Diceros bicornis minor: one gene and its partners. The protein of the gene in region 2 binds, or shares a complex with, the protein of the main gene of each other region. Links are inferred from orthologs where the notes say so. Each region holds a gene or a part of one and is shown on either strand. Other genes may lie near its edges. The genes, in order: CORO2A, TBL1XR1, GPS2 and HDAC3.

Region 1 (7,008 bases), on a different chromosome or scaffold from region 2:
TTTGCTGGTCCCCACCGCACCCTGCCAATCTCTCAATTATGGCGGGGAGCACACTGCTCTTTAATTATATCTTTTTCTGCTAAGTCTAGAACGTGGGCTGTCAGAGCTGAAGAAATTCAGCAATCATTGACTCTACCCATTTCACAGAGAGGGAAAGTGAGGTACAGAGAAGGTAGGGGACTGACCTAAGGTCACACAGTGGGGTAGAGGAAGAGTTCACCCTGGAACCTATGTCTGCTGACTCTTCCTTCCTCTGGACCACACTGCTTTTATGTTGGCCAGACTCCGGCAACGGACACTTTTGTGCCACTGGTTTTTAAGCTGTACTTTTCACATGAAATGTTCATTAAACCTCAGATAAAACACCAAGAGCTTCTTCCCTACAAGACAAGTTCTTATAAAGAACAGCATTATACTCGTCTCTCTCTATATACCTACTTCTTCAGGGTAAAGTCCTCACAGGAGAAGGCTGGGGGCGAAGGGCAGTTAGGGTCATTTTCACGGACTTTTGTAACAAGCTACCAGATTGCCCTGCAAAATTACATGCCACCAGAGAATCCCTACAGCTTTGCCAGCACAGAGGTTTATCTTTTTCTATTTATTTTTGCTAATTTTATAGGAATAAACACAGACTGCTTTTGTTTACTATGTGGTATGTGTTTTCAAACACACACACACTCTGGTTGTGGAATCAGGATCCTTAGGCTTGGCTGCTGGTTTACTGTGACCTTTGACAAGTCACATCTCCTCTGGGGATAGGGGAGGCCTATCTGTAAAAGGGGGGTTGGATGAGATAACTTCTTAAGATCCCTTTCAGCTTGGACATTCCATAATTCCATGGTGCATTTTCAAATTATTAGCATAGCATGATAATTTTTTTTTTTTATGAGGAAGATTGGCCCTGAGCTAACATCTGTGCCCATCTTCCTCTATTTTGTATATGGGACGCCACCACAGCATGGCTTGACGAGTGGTGCGTAGGTCCACGCTCCGGATCCGAACCTGTGAACCCCGGGCCACCAAAGCGGAGCATGTGCACTTAACCACTACGCCACCGGGCCAGGCTGGCCCCACATGATAATTTTTAATAACTAGAATCTGCCATGCCCCTAAATCAGGCCCAAAAGGCTTAGACCAGTCGAGCAAGAAAACAGGGCCCTGATGATACACACGTAGATAGGATGGGAGACTTAGGTAGCACTTAAGCCTGTGTGTCGTCTCTATGCTTGAGTGAGAGCACATATACTTAGTCTGCTTTTACGAGGGGATGATAACATTCATCTGTGGTCCACTCCGAGTTCTGCGCAGCTCCACCATGGCCAGAAGGCAAGGTCGTGGTCACTCTGCTTCAACCCTAGACTCCCAGACTTGTAGTCAAAGGCAGCTCATCCCCAGCAAGTGCTCATCCAGCCTCTACTTGCATACCTCCAAGGACACAGAGCTCACCACTGCTCAGGAGGTCTCTCCCTTCTTTTGACTGTAAGAAAGCTCCTGAGTGAGGAATAGGTCATGAGGGGTACAAGGGAGACCAGAAGGCCCAGACTCAATTCTCAGAAACTAGTCCCTCAGTCAGGGCAGGCAGCAGGAGAAGACAGGCAGAGGATCTGGGGCAGGGAGGCTGGAGAGGGCTCCTCTGGCTCCTCCCCTCCCTCCAGACCCCGAAGGCAGCTGCTAACCCAAAGGTGTGCAGGAAGTGCAGGAAGCACAGGGGACACAGTCCAGTCCTGATGAAGGCCGCTCCTGAACAAGCCCCACGCTGACCACTGCTCGCTCTTGGGGCAGACACCCACCTCCCTGTCTTGCCTTTGCTCCCTTTGGCTCTGGCAGGAGAAACAGTGCCAGGCCTGGGGCTGTTTAGCTGGAGGAGGTGAGCAGATTTAAGGGACCAGATGATGGCCCAGGAGAGGAGGGGTCAGATGTTGTCTCTGTGCCCAGAGCAGGACCAGCAGATTCCAGCTCTGTTTATAGCTAGTGAGATCCCCATCACAAGGGACATGCAAGACCTTCCAGAGGGGATCTTACTGAGGGGCTGGGCCAGATGCCAGAGGTCTTCTTTACCCAGAGAGCCTGGATCCACAGTCCCTCAGACATGTGCTCTGTCTCAGACCCAACTGCACCTAGACACAGCTTTCTTGGCACTGTGGCCCCTCTGGGGTCCACACACGGATGTGAGCCAGCGCTATCACACCCGGCTGGGACACAGAGCTGGGCACCAGCACCTGACCAGGCAGAGAAGAGGAAGGGGACATCCCATACCATTCCCTAAATCCAGGTTGCCTGCATGGGTCCGGTCCAGGCAAGTCTGCGGCTGAGAGGCCCACCGCCTCCAAACCAAGGTTCCCCCAGCCCCAGACCGCGAGGCAGACTTGGCGCGCAGACTCGGACCGCCCCGCCCTGCATGCCCAGGCCGGCTCGCCAGGGACCTGGGGTGTCCCCCGCTTCCCGTTTCCCCTACTCGCCCAGCAAGTCACCCAGCTAAGACGGGGAGAGTCCCAGCACGGGTCCCGCGGGGCATCCCCCACAGGAGGCCTGTCGGGACCGGCTCGCCACACCCAGGGTGAGCGGCCCTCACTGCGGGTGGGCTGTGCAGACAGTGCCTATCCGGGCTCCGAGACGTCGGGAGCCTGGAGCTCGGGGCGGCCTCTCCCAACAGCCCGGCGAGGAAGGGGCCATCACTGCGCCCGCTATCCCGACGGGGAAACTGAGGCCTGGAGAGGAGCAGTGCTTTGTGCAAGGTCACGCGGAGGGGCTGGAAGCCAGGTGCCCCGCGCCCCGCCGGGTCTCCGCGGCGCGCCGAGCCCCAGCATCCCTCCCCGGGCGCTGCAGCCCGCCGCGCGGCGCGCCCACCTCGCGCAGGCCGGGAAGGCGCGGCCGGCGGCGCGGGGCCGCCCTACCTTGACGACGGCCGCGCAGGTGGCGGTGGCGGCGGCGGCGTCCGGCTCCGGCTCCGCGCTCCTCGCCGCCCGCCGAGTCCCCGCGCCCAGCGCCGCCGCCTCCGCGGCAGCCCGGCGGGCGGGGCCGGGGGGCGGGCCAGGGGCCCGGCACAAGCCCCGCCCGCGCGCCCCGCGAGTCCGCGGGGCCACCCCTCCTTCCCTACCCGCCCCCCCCGACCGCGCCGCTGGCCCCGGAGCTGGTCTCGGGGCGCGCACACGCGCACAGCGCCGGCGCGCACACGCCGCAGTGACCGGGGCCGGCTGCGCGGCGACCGAGCGGAGGCTGGGGACGGCCAGAGCCGCCCGCCCGCACGTCCGCCGCTCCCTCGCTGCGTGGCGTGGGGCGGGGGACTCGACCTCCCGGAGCCTCAGTTTCCCCCTGGGTGAAATGGAAACAGTAACCGTGTCTGCCTCCGAGGGCTGTTCGAGAATTAGATGGGAAGGTGTCGTTTACCGGCCCGTGTGAGCGGGCACGCAGAGCCCGCCACAGGAGGAGCGCTCGGAAACCCGGAGGGCAGAGGGATTCCGGAGGCCGCCCAGTCGGCCCCGAGGAACGGGGCGGGGCTGGCCGCCGCAGTGTGCGGAGGACTCCCTTCCTTCTCTCGGCAGCCAGGAGGGGGCGCTGCTGCCCACTCTTGGCTGTGAGGTCCTGAGCATCCTAGGCAATGCGGAGGAGATGGGGAGGCCCAGCGTTTTCACGTACCACTGGCCAACACCTCCTGAGCCAGGCAGTTTCAGGCACCTTAAATGCATTACCTCACTTCACCGTCACACAAGCCTATGAGGTTACACTAATACTTATCTGTTTTACACATAAGGAAGCTAAGGCACAGAGAGGTTAAGGACTTCACTTAAGATCACACAGCCAGTAATTCAACCCTAGGCAGTGTGGCTCTGAAGCCTGAGCTCATAGCCACTCCACCGCACTCTCTCTCTTGAGAAGTGTATTTCACTTAGCCACTAGTATTAGCCCATTTTACACATAAGAAAATTGAGACTTAGAGTGGCTTTGAACTTGGGAGCTCTTGATTATCTCCTTAGAAAGAACAGCGGGGGCCAAAGGCTGCGACTCAGTGTTCACTGTTCACTGGGCCCCTCCCCTGCCTGGAGCTGGATGGACTCCCCGCCCACCGTCCAAAGCCCAGCCCCTCGGTATGGCCCTCAAAACCTCTGCCCTGCGGCCGACCCAGGCTTCTTGGAGCTGGACTGCTCAGCAGGCCAACTGAGTGTGGCTCCGGGCATCGGCATAAAAGAGCTGGATATTTGATGTTTCAGGAAAGCACGTGGCAAAATCAGAACGTGGTGGGAGTTCCTTCTCCTTATGGTTCAATATTGCCTTTATTTTTCATTACACCTGGGGGGTGGGCTTTATAACCTTTCCAAGGCTAGGGCATCTGAATGTCTTCATTCACCTGGGGCTTGAGCGAACATCTCCGATGCATCCCGCCAGCCCCTTGCGCACTCACACCTCAGTGCCTTTGCTCACACTGTCCCCTCCACCTGGAGTTCTCTTCCACATCATCGTTTTCGCCTGTCTATAACCAACTCATCCTTCCTTCCAGGCCCAGCACCCACACCCTTCCCAGGAAGCCTTCCCAGATGCCCTGTGGATGCACCCTCCTAGCCTTGTCTCTGCATCTTTCCCCTCTGCCATGATGGTAGGTGGCTGGGACAGTTTAGGGAAGGGCTGGTTTGACAGGGACCTCTCTGGGGGCTGTAGGCATAAGGACCGAGGGGCCAGAGGAGAGGACACTGGAGGCCTCTACAATAGACACAACCTGGGGCCTTTCTGGAGATGCTGTGTGTGTGTGTGGGGGAGGGGGTCCTCATTCTCCTGCCTCTCCCCTTCCCCAACCCTGGTCCCTTTGAGGAAGGCTACCCCCAACCATCTTCCGCATTGCACACATAAGGAAACTGAGGCCAGAGTAGGGATGACCCGCCCAGAGGTCCAAGCAAGAAAACCACACAAGAGGCATGGCCCCAAAGTTGGGCCCACCTGCCAGCACCTATTGTTGGGTCTTATTGCTGACTGGGATGGGCCAGGAAACCAGCAGCTTCCTTCCCGGTGTGTCAACATGGCAGCTTTGTTTAACCTGCCGTGTGTGGGTAAATGCCTGGTACGGGAGCAGAACGTGTGTGTGTGTGTGTGTGTGTGTGTGTGTGTGTGGCAGATTCTCCACCTGCCCAACATGGAGCTTTCTGTACAACACGGCCCTGTGCCCAGTGGGGCCTGAGCTTAGAGAGAATGAGGGGACAGCAGCGCCTGGGAGTGAGGCTGAGCGTGGGGGAGCGTGGCCCTGAACACGGGCATTCTGTAGAAGTGTGCACTCCCACGCTGGGGTGGGGGAGGGCCTTCCAAAGTGCCCTCCAGGCCCGTCCTCCTCCTCTGAGGAGTCCCTCCATTCTTGGGGAGCCTGCCCCGGGAGCTTCCCTGGGTGACTCCTTTCCCCTCCCCCAGAGAACCGAGTGTGGACCTCAGCTTGCGGGGGCGCGTGTCTGGGAGAGGGATGCTTTGAGCTAGAGGTCCCATCCCCTGGGGTAGGAGGGTGGGGCTGTGAGGGATCAGATCCTCCCGGGGGATGGGGCGACAGCTGTGGTGCAGGGCCAGGAACCTGACACCAGGGGTGGGCCCCAATGCCCCTCAGGAAGAGGGGAAGGCTGGGCAGGCTCCGTGGGAGCAGCAGCAGCCACCCGCCTCCCCGTGGTTGACCCCACCCCCACCCCCTGTCCCTGCCCCAGCCTCGCGCTCAGGCGGGTGGTTCTTCCTCCCATCTCCCTCTGCCTGGAGCTCTCCCCACAGGCCCTGCGCCACTCAGGAGGCCACGGGCCAGGCCCGCCCTTTGCCCTGGGTCCCTGGGGGAGGTGTTGAAGACAAGGTGAGCTGGGAGGGGCCCGCCCTGGTTTTGCAGTCAGGGCCTCTGGGCTTGAGCGTGGCTTCACCTCACAGCGATTGTGTAACTGGGCAACCTTGCTAACCTCCCTAGGCCTGCTCCTCACCTGTCAGCTGAGCTCGGCCCGGGTGAGAGGTGCCGAGGACAGGCAGCTCTCAATCCTGGCTCCGGCTCCAGCACCCGGTTTCAGGCTCTGAGCGGGCCCAGCACGAGTATATACATATATTTTTTTGAGGAACATCAGCCCTGAGCTAACATCCGATGCCAATCCTCCTCTTTTTGCTGAGGAATTGTGGCCCTGGGCTAGCATCTGTGCCCATCTTCCTCTACTTTATATGGGACGCCGCCACAGCATGGCTTGATAAGCAGTGAGTAGGTCCATGCCTGGGATCCAAACCTGCAAACCCCGGGCCACCAGAGCAGAGCACCCGAACTCAACCGCTACGCCACTGGGCCGGCCCCCCAGCGGGAATATTTTTAAAAAGCTCCTCAGGTGCTCCTATGGTGCAGCCAGGTGGGAACCAGGTTACACAGCGCTGGATGACCTGCAGAGCACCGCCCCCCAGTGGGCAGGGGGAGGGTGCAGGCTCCCAGCTCTGGGCAGAGCTTCTCCTCTGCGGGGTGGGGGATGGGGGGACGGTGGAGGAGAGGAGAAGAAAAGCCGGGAGGGAAGATGAGGGAAGGAGGAAGCAGAAGGAAGAGGTGGGAGGAGTAGGGAGGGAAGACGGAGGAGGGTGCCATTTACCTGGCAGCCTCCGTCTGATCTGGGGTTGTTTTCTTTTTGGCTGAGGAGAAAATCTGAATTTCAAGGCTGGAGTCTGAGGCACCAACTGGGCCAGTCTGGCCTGGAGCCTTGGGCCTTTCTAGGCCTCAGGGCCCCTGGTGACGTTTTCTTCATAGAAAGGCCGCTCGCTGCCCTTGGCTGCACTTCCTCTGTGCCAGTCCCAGGCTCAGCACGGGTGTGGTCTCCTTTAACCTCCTGGGAGCTGCAGGAGGCTGGACCCCTTGTCTCCTCGCTGATGGCCCTTAGGGCTCCAGCACCCAGCCTGCTGGGGTGCCGCCAGGACCCCCCCCCAGACCACATCACACTTCACAGATACTGTCTGGTGGTGGAAGCACCTCAGCAGATGACACAAATTTAGCAGAAACAAGAAAGACCGTCAAGCCCCAGAAGCCCGGGGTCC
Region 2 (7,628 bases):
CAGAGTGGTCTCCAAACTGGACCACACTCATCAATTCTTTACTACACAGCCCCGGGGTCCTAGTCCTTCTGGACTACGGGGATGTATAAATGTCTTGATGTTAGCTGCTTTCTTTTTTCGCATTTCAGTGACTTATACTGTAAATGTTATTTGTGAAGTGAGTCAAATTCACATGTACTAGAAAAATACAAAGTCCTAGGCAGTGCCAATACTTCTGCCATCTCCACTGACTACCATCCACATTCCTCTCAATTCTTTTTATATAAACAAACAGAAACTGAAGAAACCCAACAAACTATTTCTCCTAACTTTATTAAAATGTGTCAAGTCACAAATCCTTTGTAGTAATACCGCTGTAGTAAATTGCAGAAGGATTCCTTTGTCAGCTACTCATTTGACAAGGCTGTAGTTACATTTCATTGCTACATATGAACAGATGTATTTATTCAACAGGTTGTCATTCAAAAGGTCTATTAGTCAGATTTCTTGATCAGTAACCCCAATGTTTATATTAAGCTCCTGCCCTTTCTACGTATTAGCTACAAAGGCTCCCAGCACACAGGAAGCAGTTACTTTTTGTTCTCTTAGTAGGCATGTATCACAATAAACCTCAATTAGATGCTGAGAACACAAGTAACAAAAAGATTCCTGGACACATGTAAAAAGTTATCACAATGTTTAACACTTCCTGGAAGCAACCAATGCAAAAAATACAACCTCCACAAGGGGCCTCTTCATTGACCACGGTGTCTCCCACATTAATAACGAAAGCTGGTGTGTATTGGCAGCAACTGACGCTGAGCTTTGCAACAATTTTTAAGCCATTGACAAGTTTCTTAACAGTAAGAAAAACTTTTTCCATGGACACACTGTCTTCATCCCCCACACAGTTTAGTATTTTGCCCTAGAGGTGTGATTCTAACTATTCAAATAGCAAAAAAAAAAAAATAGTAGTTATTCAAGGATTTAATGGTTGTGATTACATACATCACACAGTGCATGACAGCAGAACTGGAAAAAAAATCATATTCCAAACAAGCAGGAAAACCTCAATTTAAGAGCAAAAAGTATAAACATGCATCACATGCCTGACCACTCTCAGGCATATTTTCTTTCTGCTGCCCCTCCTCCACCCATAAATGCTAACTATTTCTAGAACCCTCAATGATAATTTCCAAAGCTTGCATGAACTCCCATGATACAACGTGACATACGTTTCATGAAGACGTTTTCATGGAGACAACGCTGCCCTATTTCCCCAAACTATAAACTTATTAAAATGGTGAGAACATACAGTCCCAGGAAGTCAGGATTACTAAAACACACCAATGTAGCACAGGTCTCATTTAACAAAAACGAAAATGAACCACACTGGGAAAGCCAAAAAAGTCACTCACTGTCTCTTCAATAGGCAATCAGGCTATTAATTACAATTTGTTTTAGGGAAGTCGATAAAAACACCACGAGGGCATTATGTTACCCAATCTGATAAAGGAGCCTTTAGGAAAAAAGGGGGAGGAAGATGATTGCTTACATGGGTGGCCCGGAGGAAGGGAAAATAAACCATTTAGACTAAAAATAACCCATCATTTCACCCACCATATTTAATTAACAAGCTTGTTTATATTAGCATAAGGTTCTTGTTTGGAAAACAAGAAAACCAAGAGTAAACTTCCCCTAAGTCAACTGTAAATCACATAGGTACTAAAACTGTTCACCTTGGTGTCTGCACAGTCCAAGGTTTTATGTAAACTCCAGAGACTGAGAAAATCTAGTTTTTAACTAGGTTCCAACACTTGTCATTTGTAATCACCAAATTACTTTAGAGACTATTATTAGAAAACCTAGCAAGAGGAGCATTTTTCAAGAGCCATCACAACCCAAATTTTACATGAAACACACCATTTTCACAACCTGAATTTAATCTCGGTTGCCACTGCAAAGTGAAGCCTGTTTCAGCAAATTAGGAACTTCCAAAAATACTGAACATGTTAACACATGCATGGCTTCCCTCGAGCTGCCATTTAAGATTAATAATTTCACTGGAATAAAAGTCTGCTTCTGTTCAAAAACTGACATCGGTTGCAAAGAGGAAGTTACCGAGAAACCACCCTTCACAACGTGGCCTTTACACTGTCAGAAAATAATGTGACTGTGCGACCCAAAACTTACCAGGAAGCTGGCAATAACTTTACCAATTCTACACTTCTGAACCCAACTTCAAAGAGGTTCTATCAAATGCCTCCTTAAGACGGTAAAAAGCACTAAGTTGGAAATAAACACGCCCGGGAGTGCGGCCCCGCGGCCGCGCGCCCCTCCCCCGCCGGCGCCCCCGCCCGGCCCGCGCGGCCCCAACAGCCGCCCGCAGCCCCCTGCACGCCGGCCGGGGTCGCCGCGCCCGGGCCGGGGACGCGCCCGCGGAGGGGAGCCTGTTTCCATTGCTGCCTGAGGTTTCACAGAATAACATGCACCGAAAAGAGCCCTCTCCTCCGCTAAAAATAGGCTATAAAGGAGTCGGCCTCATGATGGCTCCTTGATTCAATTTGCTGCAAATTCTTCCCTGAAAGCCTCCCCCCACATATACACACACGGAAAAAGGGGGTGTAAATGCACGAAGGGTGGAAGAAGGGAAGAAGGCCGAGGTGCACATTTTCGGGGACCACAACATCCTAAGGGTGAGGATCCCCCGAGACCAAAAAAGGGTAGGGGGTGGGCAGGCACGTGAGCATTTCAAAGAAGCCCGAGAGAGGAAAAGGGGGGGTGGAGTACCCCAAACGCCTTCCCTTCCTTCCCCTCCCCCACCCCAGCCCCAGCTCTCCAAAGGGCCAAGTCGAAAAATGCAGGTTCCACTGGCGCCCATCCCCCCGCGGCCCGGCGCCCCCCGGCTGCCGCCGCAGCCTGCGCCCCCCGCCCCGGCCCGCGGCAGCCCCCACCCCGGGGTCCGGCCCCCAGCGCTTACCTGGAAACGGTGGCCTCCGACGCCGCTCCCCCCTCCCGGGAATGGAGGCACAAGGAAATTCCCCTCCTCGCCGCCGCCGCCGCCTCCTCCAACCACCCCCAAAATAACCCCTCCGGGGGGTGAGAGGCAATTATAACCCCGGCGAGCGGAGGGCGCGGGGGATGGGCGCCGGGCGGGCGGGGGCGGGGAGCGCGGCGCGGGTCCCCAGGTGGCGAGCGGAGGTGCTCCCGCCGCGGGGGGAGGGGCGGGGGCGCACGCGGCCGGCGGCGGGGGGAGGCGGCGCGCGGGGGAAGGGCGCGAGCGGGGAGAGGAATTGAGGCAGAAGGTAAAAGCTGTTACTAAGGGAAAGAGCCAAACGGTTCGGAGCAGCCAACGGCTCAGACACTCAACACTGGGGAGAGAGGAATGGGGACCAGCCAGGCACAAATGAGCTCGCGAGGCCCGCGGCGGCGACGGCCGCGCAGCAAAACAAACCCGAGCGGCCTGCGCCGGGCGGGCGCGCGGGGGAGGGGCCGGCGGGGGAGGGGCGCGCGGCCGCGGGGAGGCGGCGGCGCGGCGGGGGGGGCTCCGCCGGCCTCGCTCCTCTCCCTGCGCCCGCCGCGGCGGCGCGGGGGGCTGGGCGGGTGCGGCGCAGGCTTTTAAAAATAAAGAAAGACCCGCAGGCGCTTCGCGGCGCCGCCGGGGCACTGGCCGCCCCGCCCCCACCGCCGCGCGGCCGGGTGCGGAGTCGTTTGGGTGTGGGCCGCGCGGCCCGCTGGGGGCGGGGCGGTCGGCGGGGCTCCTGCGGGTCCGGGGGCCGCCAGTCCCCGCGGGCACCCCGGCGGCGCGGCGGGGCCGGCTGGGCACACCCCCGCGGTGGGCATGTGTGGAAGCGCGGCGCAGGCATCATATGGACCTGTGTTTGTACAAAGCTCTGCACACACCTTTGTGTGCATAAATACATATGTTTCTCGGAAGCGTACCTGGAGAGGTGCTTTATCTGTAAGCAGCGATTTTCACAATGTAATCCGGAGCACGGGATCTGGAGAGAAAACACACACACGCAAGAAAAGGGTTTTGATGCTAAACACAAAGCTGTAATTGAAGTGTTTATGCCCAAATGTACTGTGAATCAAACATATGGTGGTATTTATCGTCTGGTGGGTCTGCTTGAAAGGTTTGGTCGATCAGTTCTCATTTCACAAAAATAAAATAATGTAACTAAATGTTTACTAAATATATACCTCTACGGCAGCATCGACAGTAGAAGTTTATCCACTTTGTGTACTTTTTGCATGTGTGTAGCACATCAAGGCAGTTTGTAAAGTATAACTTAGATGAGTGATAATGTGTCAATATAATGAAGGAAGGGAGGGCAGAGGGGTGTTTTAAAAAAGGGATGCACCTCACAGTTCTTAAAACGAATGTGTTTATCTTTCCGAGGCCCTCAGAAAGCAGGGGTTGGGAGTCTTAGATCTTTGTATAAGCCTAGAACATAAAAAGCAGCTGTCCTTTTAAAGATTTGACCTAAAAGAGAACTTTTTTGTTGTTATTTTCAGTTATTGGTGAATTCAAAGTACAATAATATTTTTTGCAGCCTTTTTAGATGAGGGGTTCTGTTTTCATGCTTTCATCACAATATTTGGAAATAGACGTAGTCACTATTTTAAAGCAATAGTCTTTTCCTCTCAATATCAGAGACCTAAATTTTCACACCAAAAAAAAGTTCATTCGAAGTATCTTTCACACATCTGGACTCCGGGTGGCCTAATAAGCTCAGTGACTAGACAGGTGCTTTTTTGGCCAAGGTCAAAGGCTATTTCCCCTGATGAGCCCTTACTTGGCGGGGAGGGGGAGCAGCCAGAAGCCTTTCCTGAGAGGGAGCAGGAAAACCATCAGAGGAAAGGGAGTGGGATTGGAAACTCCCTCACAACCACCAGAAGAGAGTTCACAGCATCTCAGTAGTTCGTCCTCAGAGCTATTTTAATATATGAAAGAGGGAATGTTAGATTAAACAATGTCACCCAATGGGAATTTAGATAACTGCCGGTTTCCAAAACACTGTGTTGAGTGTTCGGGCAAACAGCACAAAGAGAGCAAGTTTTGCATTTCAGTGACGTTCTAAGCTAAGGCTTACTGCAGAGCTCGCACCTTTGCAAAGACCATTTCCGAAGTGATGAGGGTATAGTACCTTCCTATTTTTTTTAAATGTTTTTAAGTATTGATTAATGACATATGTATGTTACTAAACATAATCTTCTCTTCAATAAGCAAACTATCTCAGTACAATTAGGCTTCATTATCTGAGCCACCCAGTGAGACAAATCGATTGGCCTAGCTTGTTTTTGGCCACCACACATGGGTCTTCTCAGCACCGGCTGCTGTAAAATCAAACCACTTTTCCAGTGAATGAGGATTTCCAAACTACACCGACCCTAGTTAATAGGGTCATCTCCAAACTTGGGGCCCCCAACTTATCATCCCTCAAAATGATCTCTATCACTCCATCTCCAAGGGAGAGCCCATCCTCCTTCAGGTTCATAGGGTCCAGGGCTTCCACCCTGAAGTTCTTATACCCTACACCAAGCTGCCTCCCGTCCTAGCAGGAGTTCTTGTTATCGTAATGATAATCATAATCCATGCGTTTGTTTACATCCTTGTAGTTATAAGATGTTTCTGTGCATAAATTACTTCATTTAAATACCATGATAAAAATCACCAAAGGTGGGGAGCTTTGCCGTAAACTAGTTCCAGTAAAATGCACCTCATCCGCCATGCTCGCTAAAGATAGACTTGAAGTACCTTTGGACAAAAAAAGCACTAAATGTGGAAAAGCCTTGATTCTCCCAACCAAGGGGTATTAAGTGAGATCATATTTTGATCACTTCAATTTCTATATTCTGGAAACTCTGAAATGACAGCGTGGCTGCAACATGAAATCCTCAGATAGATGAGCCACCATACAAAGTTCACATGTATTGCTACCCCACCCTCTAGCCATTCCAACTTATCTAGTATACAAGATCAGAGGCCTCACTTTATACAATTCAAGCAATAATTAGACACAGGAGTAATGTAAGGACAAAGTTAATTATTGTTACCAGTTTTCAGTGCTTTGTCCTAATCTAAAAGCTGTCCTTATGCTTTGAATATAAATGTTAATATGTTTCTAGAAAGGAGAAATTACTCTGTTACTAAGAAATTTTAAAGCAGAGGCACATTAAGAAAGTTCTCTTGAACTTTCTAGCTAATTACTCAACAAAGAGAAACCTCATACCAGTAACTGTTACCAGACTTTATATATATATTATAAAATGACTAAACAAATCTTGACTTGTTTTATTTCAGTAATATTACACCCAGGGGGTGTGGTATGGCAAGATAGCCTATACTTTTGCAACTTTCATCACTCGGGAAATAGAACATTTTAAAGTTAAGGTGGCTTAATCCCAGGTTATAGGATCTCATTACTATATATATTTTTAAAGCCACCATGATGTTTTATGTTGTTTGCATTAGCTGATCTATGTAATTAAAATGTTCAAAACCAACTTAAAAGCATGAAAAAGATATTTGATACCAAAAATATTATCCCGACACTATAACTCTTTGTATATTCTTTACTCACCCAGGAACTCAGTGGCTTTACGTCTGCAGTGTGTGCCCCCAAGCGTCTTGCTGATACCATGTGATACGTTTCTGTTTCGTTTTGACTCAACTTGTGCAATTCTTTGTCTGTGGTTCTTCCAGCTATCAGCTTTTGCCATCCGGACTGATGCAGATCTCGGCCACACATCTTAAGATCTCAGCACATTGAGATCTCCTTTTCTCCCTCTGTGCTTAGTGTGTGACTTCTGACCTTTCCTCATCAGTGTGAACCTTGTCACAGTTTTCCATGACTCTGTGACCCGATTTCATTACCACAATGAACTTTACTTGGGAGTTTTCATTTAAATTACAAAAGCAACACACAACCATCTTACAAGTATTTATGCCTTTCAGATAATGGAAATAGCAGGTTGGATTCTGCCTTTGTGATTCAGTCAGCACAGAAAACCACCCACACACAGAGCATAGTGCTGTACCAAGTACTTACTTCTATTGACCAGCCGTGTGCTTCCTCAGGGCAGCACTCAAGGCCTCGCATTATGTTGATAGTTTTGCTATTCATTCATTCAACAAACGTTTATTGAATGCTTAGTGTGCCAGGCACTGTTCAAGAAACTGTTTACCGTGAACCAAACACAGCCCTTACTCTCTTGGAATATACATTCTGGTCCTGTGTCAGGTGGGGGTTGGGAGGGCAGACAGACTTTCAGAAAATATACGTCTGTATTAGGCTGTAGTTTGATTTCTATAACAAAGGTGATATAAAAATGGCTTAAACAAGATAACAGTTTATTCTCTTACGTGGCCATTCAAATGTAAGCATTCTAGAGTGGATAAGGTATCAAGGGTGCAGACTGCTTTATGATCTCAACACATATCTTTCATTTAAGATGGCTTTTCTAGCTCCTGCCATCACATGCAAATTCCAGCCATTGGGCCAGAAAGAAGGAGAATAGAGAGCTTTGCCTTCTCTTTCAGGACTTGGGGCAGTTGAACTTATCACTTCCACTCATACTCTATTGGCCAGAACTTGGGCACATGACCATACCTAGCTGCTAGCAGGCGAGGTAAATGACAGATG
Region 3 (6,961 bases), on a different chromosome or scaffold from region 2:
CCAGGGGCAGTGGCAGATAGATTTTATTGGCCTAGGACTGGGACACACCAGGGACCCTCACCCATCGCAGGGGGTGGGGGTGAGGCTGAAGATAAAATCCGATGGTCACTTGTGGTAGAATCGTGGGTTCTGGCTGTGCTGGATGAAGGGGAGCCGAGGGCCAGGTTGGCTGGTTGCTGCAAAGCCCGACTGGTGGTGGCGATGAAAGGAGGGCTTTGTCAGTATGCATATTCTCCTTTCTTCATACCCTTACTGACAACCACCCCCAAGGAGGAAGGAAAAAGCAGGGGTGTGGGCTACCTGTCCTACCCAATTCTATTTTCCCTGGTAGTGTAGGGGTTCTGACAGGTTTGGTTACCAATCCTTACCTTTCCTGCTGGTTGCATCTGCACAGGGAGCTGGGGGGAGGCAAGGAGTCCAGGGGCTGGATGTAGAGCTTGGGGGTGCATGGGACGCAGGGAGGACTGCAGAGAAGAGAGTTAGAATCAGAGGCAGCCTGGGGGTCCCCTTACTGTAACCCTTTACCCTGACCTCCCAAGGCTCCATACTCACTGAATCAGAGAAGCCAGTCTGCTGGTTAGCGTGTTCCATCTGCTTTTGCAAGGACAAGGCACTGCCAGGCTGGAGGAACCCTAGGTGGGGAAAAGCAGTGTGTGAAATGAGTAGACAACGGGAAAGAAAAAGGGAGGACTCAGAACTGGGGTCCCTGCGTGGGGTGTTATCACCTGTCTGGGTGGGCTGGAAGTGGCTGTGCACGGCATAGGGCTGTGGCTGTGGCTGAGACAGGTACTGCACTGCAGGAAATGCTGAAGGTGCTGAGAAAGGCAAGAGGCACAGCCATTAGAACCTTCTTTAGCCTGATTCTGACACTCCTCCCTCTGGGCCTTGAGAAAAGCCCCCCTCCCTCTTTCCCACCACTCACCTCTGAGCTGCTGACTAGGACTATAGGCAGGCTGTGTGGGTCCATAGTGAGGTGGGGGCTGAGCAGTCCCATAGGCGCCGCCTGGGCTACCTTGGAATTGCCCGTGCTCTGGGGTCCCTGCGAAAGCAGCTGCTGAGCCCACATAGTGCCGGGTCTAAGGAGAGAGGATGAGAACTCACTACCTGTAAACTCCTTGAAAGCAGAAACTCCAGGGACTTGTGTATGCCCCGTTTTTCCCTATACAGTTAAGTGTTTGATACATTCATGTACTGCATAACGACGTTTCGGTCAACAATGGACCACATATACGACGATGGTCCCATAAGATCACCACCATACAGCCTAGGTGTGTAGTAGGCTATACTATCTAGGTTTGTGTTAGTACACTCCATTATGTTTCTCAGAACATATCCCTGTCGTTAAGCAACGCATGACTGTACTGGTCCAGGGAGGATGCCTGGGTCTGGGTGGAAGTAGGGAAAAACAACAGGCTAGACACCCAATCCTCCTCTTACCGTAAGCACTTGGGGTCCAAACATCTGTTTGGCTCTGTCAGCTGCCATGAGGGTGCCTGGGCGATTGTGTCCTCCAGGGCTCCCTAGAGAGGGAGAGGGGCTTCATGATGCTGAAATGGGGGGCTGCAACCCCCAGGAGGGCCCATTCTGACAAGTGGTTTCTGTACTCCTCACCCTGCATGCTGAGGAGGTGAGTTCCTGTGTGGACAGTCAGGCCCTGCTGGTACGCAGCTGATGTCAGAGTGGTCAGGTCACTGGAGTGAAAGGAAGGCTGGTCAAAATCAAAGACAAGTCCTCCCTCTTTCATTATTAAACAGGGACCTTTTGTTACCTGATCCCAGTTACACTTTGCCCCCAATTTTATTTATTTATTTTTAGCTCTCCAATCCCACCTCTGCTCCTTGCGCCTTCGTTTTTCTTCCTCATGTAAAACTTTCTTGAGCTGCAGAAAAAGCTGGTGCTTCTCTTCCTGTAGGGCCAAAAGCTTCTCCTGCAACTTCAGGATCTGGGAAGGGAGGGGAGAGAAGATGAAGGCAGGAGAGCTAAGGGAAGGAAGAACTGGGAGAGAGCAAGGGACTGCTTACTTGTTCCTTTGTCTCCTCTAGTGACATTCTCTCTTCCATCTCCTTTTTCTTCCTTCTCTCCTGCTCTTCCTTCATTTTCTGTTCCATCATCTTGTCCACTTCTTCTTCCTCTGGAGAAAGAGTCAGGCAGAATGAGCAAGTTGCAGTGTGGTTAAAATATAACGTTAGAGATTGAAGAACAGCAAAAACTGGTTATCCCAATACTTCTTTATGCTCTTAGTAAGGGCTCTTTCCCTCTTGAGGGGACAGGCTTCCCCATCAACGCAACAGGGGACAGAGAGAGGGAGGTTTTTCTAGGTGCTCTCCAAGGTCCTTCCCAGCTCAAGGGTTCTGGAGTTTAGACCTGGTCTCCAACTCCCACCACAACGGGGCTGTTCCTTCCCTCCTCTAACTTCGACGGCCAGCGCATTGGTCGGCCCGTGGGTCGGAGTCAGCCCTGGGGTAGCGGTACCGCCCTGGGCCGTGTGTCTACCCGCTTTTGCCCCGGCTCACCCTGGCGCTTGCGCTCCCGCTCCATCATGATGTGCCGGTGCAACGCCCTGGCCATGGCGTTGGAAAGCTTGGGGCGCTCCAAGAGCGCAGGCATGGTGCCGCCGGGGGCGCTCGGGCTGTGGGTGCCCGACTCTGTCACTGACTGCCAGACCTCGGACCGGGCCTGAGGGCAGACGGGCGCTCAGAAGGGACCGCACCCGGCCCAGGCGGAAGCCCGCCCGCCGCCCCGGTCACGTGTCCGGCGCCCGCCGCCCAGCCCGGCCCGGAAGACAGCCGCGGCTCCACCGCGTGCGCGGGCGGGGCCCGAGTCTCCGGCCGCGGCGCTCCCCGCCCACTGCCCCGCCAGCCCCGGGCGCCGGCCCCTCCCTACCCGCCTTCTCTTTGCTTTCTCCGCGGCCTCCTGCGCGCCTTGGCCGCTGCGTCACATCCGGCAACTGGCCCGAGTCCTTCCGGAGTCAGGGCAGCAGCCGGCCTCGCGGGTGGGGCGGAGAGGGAAAAGCGGAAGCGCCTGCGACGGGTGCCCGTCGCGTCCAAACCCCGTCGCTGCGCCTCAGCCGGCGCTGCTCCTGGCCGCGCGCCAGCCGCGGGGCGCCCCAAGCGGGCTCTGGACTTGCGGGCGGGGCCTCTAATTTGGCGGGGCCGGGCACAGCGGGGACAGCCCCAGCGGGCAGGGGATCCTCCGAGGGGCACGCGAGAGAGAGGCGGAGGCGGGTGCTTTGAGACGGTGTTTATTGGCTCCTTAGAAATCAGAGTCAGTAACAACTGTACAGAGGGCCCCCATCTTGCCTTGCACCCGCCCTTCCCCACTCCCGCCCGGTGGCCCCCGGAAAAAGCAGCTTCATGTGGGGCACAGGGAGACTCCTCTGGGATTCACAGTAACCAAGAACAAAAACGGAAATAAATTAAGTGATATGGGGGAGGGAATCATAGGGAGTCGTGTTCCCCAAATCAGTGCATGAAGAGGAGTTACCCAGGGCCTGGAGCTGGGCTCCCCACAAGCTCCCTCACCTCAGAGGGAGTGTTTCGCGCCCTGGACATGGAGATGTGCTCCACTTCCCATCTAAATCTGAGAGCCTGCCTACACGCTCCTGTGCATTTGCCAGACTGAGCACCTGTGCATGCCATGGGTCACTGGAATGAGTTGGAGGCAGTCGTCACTCAGAGTCCACAGGCCCAAGGCCCAACTGTGCTTGTAGTAGTGAGGTCTCACCCCTCATTCCACCCGTACCAGCAAGGCATAGAGGAGTGTGGCCCCCTTCTCCTTGGTTACCCACTCAAGTTCGGCTGGGGTAAAGTGAGGGTCAGGAGATTCTCTGAGGGCAGTGGAAGGGGGACCAGGGGTGTAGGAGCCAGGGCGCACACACACCTGGAACGCCACCTGGGCCTGGTGGGTCCGCTGGGATTTGGGGTCCCGGAATCTGTCAGGCAAGAAGCAGAAATAGGGCAGTGAGGCCTCTGGCCCCCATCACCTCTCCCCCTTGCTAAAGGCAACCACCACACTGGCCTTGCTGGTCCTAGGAATCACTCCCACCTTTTAAGACCTGGGTCTAGCCATTCTCTCTACTTGAACTGGTCTTCCTCCCAATGCCTACTTAGCTAACTCCCTCACTTCCTTCTCCAAGCCTTTGCTCAAATCTCACCTTCTTAAGGATGTCTACCCTGACTACCCTATTTAATATGCCCACTCCAACCACACTTCTGATCCACTTTACCCCACTCTACTTTTTGTTTCCATAGTACTTACTGGTCACTTTTAAAAATACTAAATACTTATTATGCATAAACATTCTAGAGCAAGAGAGGACATAAGTTCCACAAGAGCAAGATTCCCATTTTGTTCATCGAAATGAAATGAACAAAACATTAAAATGTTCAGTGAAATGAACAAAATAAGTGGTATTTGTTCAATGAATGTGTGAAGAAAGGGCTAGGGTGGAGACTGAGGAACTAGCAAGACAAGGTGGGAACAAGAAAGCAAATCATGGAGACCCAAGTGTCCCTGGCACCCACCTGCCCCCACCCCCGTGTACTCACTGCACTTTGGATGCCAGGGTCTCGGCCCCAGCATATTGGAGAGAGGGGGAAAGCAGCACTGGAGGGGGCTGCTCCTCCCGAGGAGGTGCGCAGTTCTCGCCAGGCTCCTCGAACCCTACCCCAGGCTCTCCCTTCAAGGGCCGGCAGCTTAGAATGGAGGCAGTGCCTGTGAAGAGAGGTGGGTCAGGGCAGCCCTCCCGTGGCCCACAGGCCCGGCCTGCCATACCTGCCCTGCTTCTGCCGGTGCCACGGTACCTGCTCCCAGCTCCCCTCGGTCCAGCACCCTCCGGACAGCTGCCACATTGCTCCCATGATACGCCATGTGCCACTTCTTGGTTAGCGTCCCAGCCTCCAGGCGGGGATTCACCCTAGGAGGTGGACAGATAGGGCAGATTGGACAAAGGTCACTGGCTCCCCAAGATTATCCCCTAAACATGAAGTTTGTCACTTCTTCCCATACAGCCTCTTGGGACCCTCCTTTCTCAAGGGGGCTAAAAACAGTAAGGGAGACTCATGATCCTGCCCCATATGTACCTGAGGTTGAACCTGCACCAGCCAAAAGGCAGGGCGTATTCCCGGGGAGGCTCCCCACGGCGCCTGTGGGCCTCGTCCCCTCGCAGCTTCCGGCAAGACTCACAGTAGCACAGGCTACGCTTCGGCGGAGGCATGAAATAATCCTCTGCAGGAGAGTGAGTGGCAGACTTGGTGCTGTGGCTCCCACCCTGGGTCTCAACCACATGGCCTCCTTCCGACTGATCTCCAGGGAATGAGGCAGGTTCTGGGGGACTGGGGGCTCACCAGGAAGCAGCAGCAGTTCTTGGAAACGGGAGCAAAGGGCATGGTACTCGCAGCTCTTGAGAGGGCTAGCAGCAGGCGGTGGACCCCAGCACACACTCTCCTTGATACCTGAGGGAGCAGAGGGGGCAAAGGTCACAGGAGCTGTGGCTAGAAGTATGGGGTGGGGGGGTAGGATCCTGGTCCCTTCAGGCTGGCTCACCATCTACCATGTCAGCTTTCTCCATGTCCCCTTGGGTTCCAGCACTCTTCCCACTAGCAGTTCCTGGTTCAGGGCTCACGATTGTCACCTGCAGGGGAGAGGGGTGGTCAGCCAGAGCGTGACCAGCCCCCAGGGCCTGCTGACCCCCTCCTTGGACCAGACTTCTCCTTTCCTCAGACAGCCCAGTCTCCCAGGCACTCCTTTCTCCCTGCCTCCCTTGCCACTCACCTGCTCACATTGCCCGTAGAGGTCCACGAGCGCGTGGCAGGGCTGGGAGACATCTGGCACAGCTACCCCCTGGTCCATCCCATTGACGTGGAGATGCAGCCCCCCGGAGCTGTCTAGCCGCAGTCCCAGGATGGTGCCTTCAGGACACGTGTCCAGATTTGGCCCAAACTTCTCATAGATCTGGGAGGAGAGACCTACTGTCTTGCCAGAGATCAGACTCCCACTGGCAGGGGCCACTAAAGTGGCCCTTCACTAAACTTCAGATCGCCAGTCCCTGGGCTTTGCCTCCAGGCCTGCCCACTGTCTGGGCTCTACCTGCCCCCTCGCCCTCCGACAATTACCCAGAGTCCACCTCCCCTTCCCCCACCTTCTCCATGGCAGAGACACAGGAGGCAGCGGCAAGCCCAAGACTGTCCAGGTAATGACACATGCCTTTGCCCACCCACCACAGGGTCCCCCCACTACAGTGCCCCTTTCTACCTGTGGTCCTACCTCCAGGCCAGGGGCCCCACTTCTCTCTTTTGGCCAGCCCCTCCCTACTCAGAGACCTGGCCCTCTCCCTTTTCTCTGCTCCCTACCCACCTTGAGACCATTGTGGAAGACCCCATGGCCCCGCAGCAGCCAGGCTGCCCGTTTGAGGGCACAGGCAGAAGCAGGGAAGTTGAGCCTCTCTGGTGGGCAGGTGATGACTCCCAGGACAAGGGAAGATGTCCACTGCCGGTTCAGGAAGTCGATCCGCACCTGGGGGAGAAGGCAACTATTCCCCAATCATGGCCTCCTGGAAAGATGCCCAGCAGAACCAGGCTCCTCACCCCAGCCAGGGAGGGAAGATAGCACCTGCCAGAGTGTAGCCTGGGGTGCTGCCCCTCCTGATGCTTGGAGGGACCTGAAACTGCAAACTCAGTTGTTTTCTTCCCTCTTTCAGCCTTGGTCTTGCTGTGGCCTCTGTAAGAATTCTTGTCCCTAAGGGCTTCCTTCAGCTGGCTGACATCTTTTAGTTTACAGCAGAAAGGCCCCCTCCTCTGGAAAGCCCTCCCTGTTCCCACATATAGGATCAGGCATCTCCCCTGGATTCCCCCAGCCACTCCCTACTGCTTCCTTCACGAGTCACCATGTGAGCGCTTCCTGCTAACTGACCTACAACCCCCACCAAAGCGTATGAACAGAAGCCCAGGAAGCTCATCCAAGG
Region 4 (7,743 bases), on a different chromosome or scaffold from region 2:
GGAAACATTACAGATTAAAAGTCTTAAGAGACGGAATACATACAACCAAATGCAATGTGTGGACCTTGTTTAGATCCTAATTTAAATAATTCCACTGCAAAAAAGAAAAATTATAAGACAATTGAAGAAATCTGAATATTGATTGCAAATTCAATGATATTAAGGAATTACTGGTAATTTCTGAGATGTCATAATGATATTGTGTGGTTTTTTTTTAAAGAGTATCATTTGGAGATACACAACAAAGGATTTACAGATAAAAGGATATGACATCTGGGATTTGCTTTAAAATAATCTAACTAACATAAGAGGATACAGATGAAGTAAGATTGCCCATTTGCTCATAAGTGTAGCAGCTGGGTGATGGATATGTGGGGGTTCACTGTACTAGTCTACTCTCAGAAATGTTTGAAATTTTCCCTAATAAAAAGTTTAAAAACAAACTGAGTAAAGGTAGCTGTTATGGTCACTGTATTTTCATGGATGTATACTAGAATGTAAGCAAGGATCATGGCTTATCGTCACTGTCCACTCCCTTCTCCACAGGGCCTAACTCTGAGTCTTCTTGCTATGATACAAGCTCAATGTAAACCTGATCATGTCAGATCACCCTCTTGCTTTTTAAAATACTTCGATGACTTCCCTCTATTCTAGGGGTAAAAACCCCAATTCATAATAGGGCTGTTTACTTTTTAAAGGCCCTGCCTACCTCTAACCTCAATTCAGATCACTCTTCTCTTCAGATTCTGTGGTCTGCCTTTTTTCTGTTCCTCAAATGAGTTACACGTTATCCTAGCACAGATCCTTAGCACATGTTCTCCCTACTGCCCACAACATTCCTGTCCCTACTCTCTATCCTCCCAACCACCTTTCACCTAATTACCTCCTCCTACTCTTTCTTCAGATCTCAGCTCAATCTTCATTATTTCCTCTAGGAAGCCTCCACTGACTAGCCCACTCCCAAGCTGGATAATTCTTCCACATATACACTCCCATGGTCTGTCATGTGCCTCTTCTTCATAGGACTTACCACAACTATAATATTAAAATATTGCTGTTGTTGTTTATCACTGCATCCCCAGCACTTAACACAGGACCTGGCCTACAGCAAATGACCAGTAAATATTTGTTGAATAAACAAATGGGTAAATGATGATTCACTGACAAGTAGGCCTCTTCATGTCTTCCCACTGCTACCACAAGACCTCACTCAAGTATTCTCCTTGAAATGCCTGGCATCAAAGTGCCTGGCATCAAAAGTCCCAGTCCTCCCCTCACCAGTCATCGCCCACGTTGAAGGCATTAAGGCTCTTGGTGAAGCCTTGCATATTGGTGGGGCTGACTCTCTGCAGGAAGTCGATGTAGTCCTCAGAGTGGAAGCGGCACATGTCATGCTGGGACGCCTGGTATGGCTTGAAGACCTCAGGATGGAAACACAAGATGAACCCAGGCAGGGTCAGTCCCACTAATGGGACTGAGACCACCCACACTGAACCCAGCCCTGGGGACTGTCCAAAACTACATACAGCAATCCCTTGACCCCTCAAGCCGTGTTATTCTAGGAGGCAAAGGTCAGTGAAGAAGAGAAGCTCCAATTAGCCAGGTGGGTTATTATGGTCAAGCCCCCTAAAGACCATGGGGGTTGGCTTCTCCTTCTCACCTCCAGTCCAGCCTTTCCTACTTTCTCAACCTTGAGCCCTGATCCACCTGCCCTGTTCCCCGGATCTCCTATTCCTGCTTCTTTCCATAGTCCTCTCCACCCCTGGACTCTGATTCTGTCCTCTCTCTCCTCTGAGTTCTTAATTTCAGAGTCAAATAATATGGGATATATGACAACCTTCTAACTAAAACCCAAAGTGCCAAGGTGCTTAGCCAGAGATTTATCATCTTTTGAGGCGTTTACACACTTCTTTAGAAATTGGACAGAACAAAAAGCTTTTCTCTCCCCAAAAAATGCACACAGGTACATACAGCGGCAGACTAAATTTCAAGGGATTCATAGATTCATGCACTAACATCACCTCAGTCTTTTCTACGACCAGTTCACTTCTCTGTGCCTCGGCACAAGCAGTGGACACTCATACTGTTGACTAATTCCCCTTGTAATGCATAAGGGCTGAGCTTAACTGTTATAATTGCATATCACAGCAATAAATTCTAAGGTGGGGACAGACAGCATGTGAGGGTTGGGTAGTGATTACCCATGTAGGGGTATTCTAGGTTGGAAAGGGAATACTCAGGACATCTCCTGCTCTCCTCCACACACACATACACACTCACACACAGGGCAGCAGAGTCCTCCCTGGAGCTCTAGCTCCTTGGAGGCGGAGAGAGGTGGCAAAGAAGGGGTGGGAACTGAGAGTAACCTCACACCCAGATTCGGTGATCCAGCCCCTCTCCCTTTCCTGAGGCCACAGCACTGCCCACATCCTGAAATGCGAGGGAGGAAAACACCTTCTGTCTTCAAACCAGCCCCACTCCACCCTAACCTAGGTCAAAGGTTGGTCCACCTGAGGTCAAAGGGTGGCTAACCTAAGGTGAAAAAGTAACTCCTATTAAGTCAGGGGATGCACCCACCAACACTTCGCATATGGGGGATGCTCCTGGTTCCTTCTATCCAGCCTCCCCCCACTTCAGGGGTGGGTCGTACTTGGTGCATTCAGTGCAGCCTACCTACCCCTAGGGCCACAGCTCGCCCCCACCCTCAAATCCCAGCAGAGACGACGGGACTCACGATCATCTTCTTATAGAGACCGTAGTGCAGGACCAGACTATGGGTCAATGCCAAGCGATGGGGCTTCATAGGGTGCCCTGCCCCTGGGGGTGGGAGAAGAGAGTTCGTCAGCTCCCATCCCTAGAGTTGTAGACCTCCGCGTCCCGAAACCCCTCGCGCATAACCTTCTTCCCTCACCGTAGTGGAAGTTGCCCACGTCGGGGTCGTAGAAATAGGCCACGGTCTTGGCCATGGTTCCGGCGGGATCAGGCCCCGCGCCTCCGCCACCCGCCGGGCCGCCTGCCCCACCCCCCGTCGTACGTGCTGCGTAGGCACGCAGCCGGCCTCTGCGGAACCGGGAGGTCCAGGCCCCGCCTCCCTAGACCACGCCCACGCCCAGACCACGCCCCCTGCGCAGTTCTAGCAGTTGCCCTGCTTCGCCCTTCTAGGTTCTGGGGCGTGAGCGTCTGGGCTTGGGCGGAGGACGGAGAGCATTGGTCCTAGGATGCGAGGGCCATTTCCTTCCAGGCGGGGGTCATATGCTCGGGAAGTTGAGCCATCCCATCCAGCCACTTGCCCCAAACGGGGCGCAGGCCGTGGTCACCTCTCTAGGAGGCTCCGGAGAACCGGCCACGCTGTCCCTCTCGGGTGCAGAAAGCCGACTTCCCCGGCCCGCTGGGAAGGTTCCCGGCTATCCACCCGGCCTGGGCATCTGAGGGCGGGATCCGCGCCAGGCGTGCCGGATAGACCAGTGGAGAGCACTCTCGCCTGACTGCCTGTCGTCCCTACCAGGACCAGGACCCAGACTTGGCGCCGCACACTCCCCCGGGAGGGGGGCCCGGCGCAGTCACGCGCGCACCACACTTGCGCTCACAAGCGCGCAAGGCTCTAGCTCTCCGCCCTGCACACCTGCGCTCCGCCCCCTGGTCCTGGGCCGGCGACGGGCGAGGGCATTTGGGAAGCAGGGCGGCTGCGGCGCCCCCCATCTCCTCCCCTTCCCAGGGCCGGAGTTGTCCAGAGCCTGCCGCCGCTCCCAACCAGCCCGCATCCTTCTCCATCCTTCCCTCCCCCCGCCTGCCGCGGCACCGGTATCTGCAGCCGCAGCCCGGAGCCAGTGAGGCGGCGAAGGGGGGAGGGGGAGGAAGCAAGGGATGAGCCCCGAGAGGGCGTCGGGGGCCCTGAGCCGGACTAGGACGCCCCTGGAACCGGAACCCGAGCCGGAGCCGGAGCCAGAACCAAACCACCGGTACCGGGTGGGCCAGGCGGTCAGGATGGGAGGAATCGAAAGGGAGGGGTGTGCGGGAGTACAGGCAGGGGAGTGGGCTGCAGAGGCCTGGCTCAGGCCGGCGCGGAGGAGGTGCGAACGCTGACTCAGGTGGGATTCTTGCGCCGGCCGCCTGAGAATTCCGTCCCATCTCACTCTGCAGTGTCCTTGGGAGGGACGGAAGCGCAGGACAAGCTGGAAAGGGAAACCCTCTGGGCGTCGGGGAAGCGGGACCAGGGTCGTGGAAGAGGGCTTGCGCAGCCGCCGTCTGGCACCCCTGGCCCGGACCAGCACCCCTGACACGGACAGCTCCTTGGTTGGGTAGGGGGTGGGGCCGGACCTGGGAGGCTCGCCTGTTTCGGATCTTGAGGACGGCATTCCTATCCCTCCCCCCATCCCTAGCTGCAGCCCCCTAACCCCAGGAGGCGCCCTGGCCCGCGCTCGCCCCCCAGGGCTTCATGTCGGAACCACAGCCTGATCTGGAGCCGCCCCAACATGGGCTGTACATGCTCTTCCTGCTTGTGCTGGTCTTCTTCCTCATGGGCCTTGTAGGCTTCATGATCTGCCACGTGCTCAAGAAGAAGGGGTACCGCTGCCGCACCTCGAGGGGTTCGGAGCCTGACGACGCCCAGCTCCAGCCCCGTGAGTGAGGAGCCTAGAACCTGGCTCAGTCACCTTTCTCCCTTACCCCTCTCCCCACACCTCTTTCTGCCTTCCTGGCCAACAGACCCAGGCCAAACCGACCAAGCCTTCAGGAGACCTAGTGATGCTTTCTTGAGTCAGCAAGTGGGGGTGACACCACCCTGAAAGCAAGGCTAGAGAAGGCAGCATTAGTGGGAAGGGCCCACTGATGGTATTCTTGGGCTCCCATTGATTTCCGTATCTTTTCTGCCCTGGCCACTGAAATGCTAACATCCAGCATGATGGCAAATAGGTAAAGGGGTATGTCTTGAGCAATAAGCCACAGAAGCCACCAGGTAATGTCCCCTCAAAGCTGACTCATTTCCTGCTTCCTTGCCAACCTCTTTCATCCTTCAGCTGAGGACGATGACATGAATGAGGACACAGTAGAGAGGATTGTTCGTTGCATCATCCAAAATGAAGGTGGGTGTAGACTGGCCCCTTGCTCCCCCCTCCTCGACTTTCTCTTGCCCTGACCTCCACCTCCACTGACTCCCTCTTTTCCTTCTCCCTTCAGCCAATGCTGAGGCCTTGAAGGAGATGCTGGGGGACAGTGAAGGAGAAGGGACAGTGCAGCTGTCCAGGTGAGCTGGAAACAAGTGCCAGCATGACTTAGCTTACCTTGGAGAGTACCCTCTCCTCCAGCACACTCCTCACCAAGTCTCCTCGCATGTCTGGGGTCAGGGGCGAGAGCAAGGCTGGCTAAGCTATAGGAAGAAAGAAGTTGTGTAGAAGTCCTGAGTTCTTAAAACCCTATGTCCCATCTGGATGTCATCAAGCCTAACATTCACCCCCTGTGCCACTCCTTTGGGTTAAGTACTGCTCTCTTTTTAGCAAAACAGCCGTGGGAAGGAGAACGCATGGTCACTAACATCTTAATATTGAGTTTATTAGATAAAGACAAGAAAAGAATGTTGGGGCCTGGGGAAAGTGGGGCATCTGGGGGTTTAAGGAGCACGCTGAAAGAATAGAAGAAAATGGATCAGGAAGGGAAATGGGAATGTCACTCCTTCTCCCTTCCTCCCTACTGTCCAGCATGGATGCTACCTCCAGCCTGCAGGACGGAGCCCCCTCCCATCATCACACAGTGCACCTGGGCTCTGCAGCCCCTTGCATCCACTGCAGCCGCAACAAGAGGCCTCCACTTGTCCGTCAGGGACGCTCCAAGGAAGGAAAGAGCCGCCCCCGGCCTGGGGAGACCACCGTGTTCTCTGTGGGCAGGTGGGGATAGAGTACCCCAGGGAAAGAGAGGTTGAGGTGGGGGCCCCAATGATCAGGCACCTGACTCCAAAGGTTGACTCCGGCTTTCTTCCTGGACTGTGAGCTACGAGCTACAGCAGGAGTCAGGCTGCACAATGTGCCCCTGAATCTGAAGAGGTCTCCCCTGCCCTAGGCCAGAAGGAAGTGGCCATCAAACCCAGAATATCCCTGGCTGGAGGAAGGGGCCAAGCAGCCTCTGAGTTGTGGTCCTAAGCCCCAGTGTTCCCTCCCCTCCCAGGTTCCGGGTGACACACATTGAGAAGCGCTACGGGCTGCATGAGCATCGTGATGGCTCCCCCACAGACAGGAGCTGGGGGTCTGGTGGGGGGCAGGACCCAGGGGGCGGTCAGGGGTCTGGGGGAGGGCATCCCAGGGCAGGGATGCCTGCCACTGAGAGCCTGCCCCCTGAGAGGCCACAGCCCCCAGCCATCACCAGCCCCCCAGTGCAGAATGGAGGACTCAGGGACAGCAGCCTAGTCCCTTGTGCACTTGAGAGAAACCCTGGAGCCTCTGTAGAGCCAATGCTGGGGGCTGGAGGGAGGGGCCCAAGCCCAGGGCTGGCCAGTCAAGAGGCAAATGGACAGCCAAGCAAACTGGACACCTCAGATCACCAGGTATGAAGACATGGCCAGGGCTATGGTGGCCTGTGGTGGGCTCAGCTCTTATTGCCCCCTATGCTGGGGGACACTAATATGACCCATGTCCTGTTCTCCCATTGTTGACCCCTCCTCTCTCTCAGGTGTCCCCACCACGGGGAGCAGGGGCTGTGTGAGGTGAGTCTGCCTGGCCCAAATCAGAAAATGTCATCCTCCCACCCCCTACTTAAACTACCTAAGTCCATTGGCTCCCTGTATACCCAGGGTAAACTGCAGGCTTAGCCTTTGCTATAAATTCCTTGGTTTGGTGGTGGGGAGTGGACATGTGCTCCAGGGGATAGGGAAGGTCCTGCAGCCCCGGGGAAAAGCTGGGACACAGCTTGAATAGGAGGCAACTCTGTTACCCTTGCTCTTCTCCAAGCCTCCTCCTTCATTGCGCTGATGGACTACCAGCTGGCAGGGCCGGGGATGGGTGGGCACGAAGCCCCTCCTCTCCACTGGACAGCACTGCCCCCCAGCTGAGGGAACAGCCCTACTTCCACCTGGAGTTGCACAGTCTCAGGCTGGGGGACCTTGGGAGAAGTTCCCCCAACCCCCGGCCCTCAGTCTGTTTCCTTCCCCCGCCTGCCAACAGGCCGCCTGACCCGCCTTCCCCATCACCTCGCTCCATATGCTACAGCGTGGCAGCTGAGAGCAGGCCCCTGCCCTTGGTAGGCCCCTAAAGCAATAGCACCTCAGTCCCCTGCTCTCTTGGCACAAGAGGCCCAGGCTCTGGCTTGGGCTTCGTGCCCTTTATTCACTGTCAATAAATCCGCTCAGACCATTACAGCTGCTTCGCATACTGGCTCCAGCTCCTTCTGACAGGCCTGCCCCTGTCCCAGCCCCCAAACCAGTGGCCCTGGCATCTGGAGTGGGGTGGGTCACAGAGCCAGGGTGGACACACAGATGGGCCAGAGCCACTCAAGACTTTGAGGGATGGGTTCCAGCCCCAGAGATTTCAGGATATTTCACCACCTTAGAGATGGATGGGGGCAGAAGAGAAAGGAGTAGTTCCAGCCTTAGAGGCAGCAGCACGATGGGGAAAAGAGAGTGGGTTCCAGCCCCAGAAATGGGAAGAGGGGAAGTTTCTACTCCTGGAGGTGAGAGTAGAAATGGGGGAGATTCCCGCCTTTGGCTGTATCACTCTGGATCATTGAGGGGGTGTTCTCTGACAGTGTGGAGATAGGGGC

What was found.
Region 1: TBL1XR1 (region 2) and CORO2A share a complex: the UniProt entries of both Homo sapiens proteins name them as parts of the N-Cor repressor complex. The link is inferred for Diceros bicornis minor from reciprocal best matches to the Homo sapiens genes TBL1XR1 and CORO2A.
Region 3: TBL1XR1 (region 2) and GPS2 share a complex: the UniProt entries of both Homo sapiens proteins name them as parts of the N-Cor repressor complex. The link is inferred for Diceros bicornis minor from reciprocal best matches to the Homo sapiens genes TBL1XR1 and GPS2.
Region 4: TBL1XR1 (region 2) and HDAC3 share a complex: the UniProt entries of both Homo sapiens proteins name them as parts of the N-Cor repressor complex. The link is inferred for Diceros bicornis minor from reciprocal best matches to the Homo sapiens genes TBL1XR1 and HDAC3.

The regions. Positions count from the first base shown.
Region 1 is NC_080767.1:8,385,593-8,392,600, forward strand, and holds the start of CORO2A (coronin-2A), read right to left. Parts: upstream 3,005-7,008; 5' UTR 2,895-3,004; exon of another isoform or gene 2,848-2,894; intron 1-2,847.
Region 2 is NC_080754.1:45,360,853-45,368,480, reverse strand, and holds the start of TBL1XR1 (F-box-like/WD repeat-containing protein TBL1XR1), read right to left. Parts: upstream 3,003-7,628; 5' UTR 2,960-3,002; intron 1-2,959. UniProt on the Homo sapiens protein: F-box-like protein involved in the recruitment of the ubiquitin/19S proteasome complex to nuclear receptor-regulated transcription units. Plays an essential role in transcription activation mediated by nuclear receptors.
Region 3 is NC_080757.1:10,975,588-10,982,548, reverse strand, and holds GPS2 (G protein pathway suppressor 2), read right to left. Parts: upstream 3,001-6,961; 5' UTR 2,888-3,000; intron 2,743-2,887; exon of another isoform or gene 2,677-2,742; 5' UTR 2,608-2,676; coding exon 2,514-2,607; intron 2,132-2,513; coding exon 2,022-2,131; intron 1,943-2,021; coding exon 1,830-1,942; intron 1,692-1,829; coding exon 1,612-1,691; intron 1,521-1,611; coding exon 1,438-1,520; intron 1,077-1,437; coding exon 923-1,076; intron 816-922; coding exon 726-815; intron 633-725; coding exon 553-632; intron 465-552; coding exon 369-464; intron 190-368; coding exon 106-189; 3' UTR 8-105; downstream 1-7. Other genes in the region: NEURL4 (neuralized-like protein 4), read right to left, coding at 3,727-3,931, 4,548-4,713, 4,803-4,915, 5,082-5,226, 5,346-5,453, 5,545-5,632, 5,773-5,952, 6,355-6,513. UniProt on the Homo sapiens protein: Key regulator of inflammation, lipid metabolism and mitochondrion homeostasis that acts by inhibiting the activity of the ubiquitin-conjugating enzyme UBE2N/Ubc13, thereby inhibiting 'Lys-63'-linked ubiquitination.
Region 4 is NC_080740.1:59,790,385-59,798,127, forward strand, and holds the start of HDAC3 (histone deacetylase 3), read right to left. Parts: upstream 3,019-7,743; 5' UTR 2,967-3,018; coding exon 2,912-2,966; intron 2,818-2,911; coding exon 2,735-2,817; intron 1,422-2,734; coding exon 1,279-1,421; intron 1-1,278. Other genes in the region: RELL2 (RELT-like protein 2), read left to right, coding at 4,436-4,619, 5,016-5,081, 5,176-5,242, 5,694-5,879, 6,157-6,532, 6,658-6,690. UniProt on the Homo sapiens protein: Histone deacetylase that catalyzes the deacetylation of lysine residues on the N-terminal part of the core histones (H2A, H2B, H3 and H4), and some other non-histone substrates.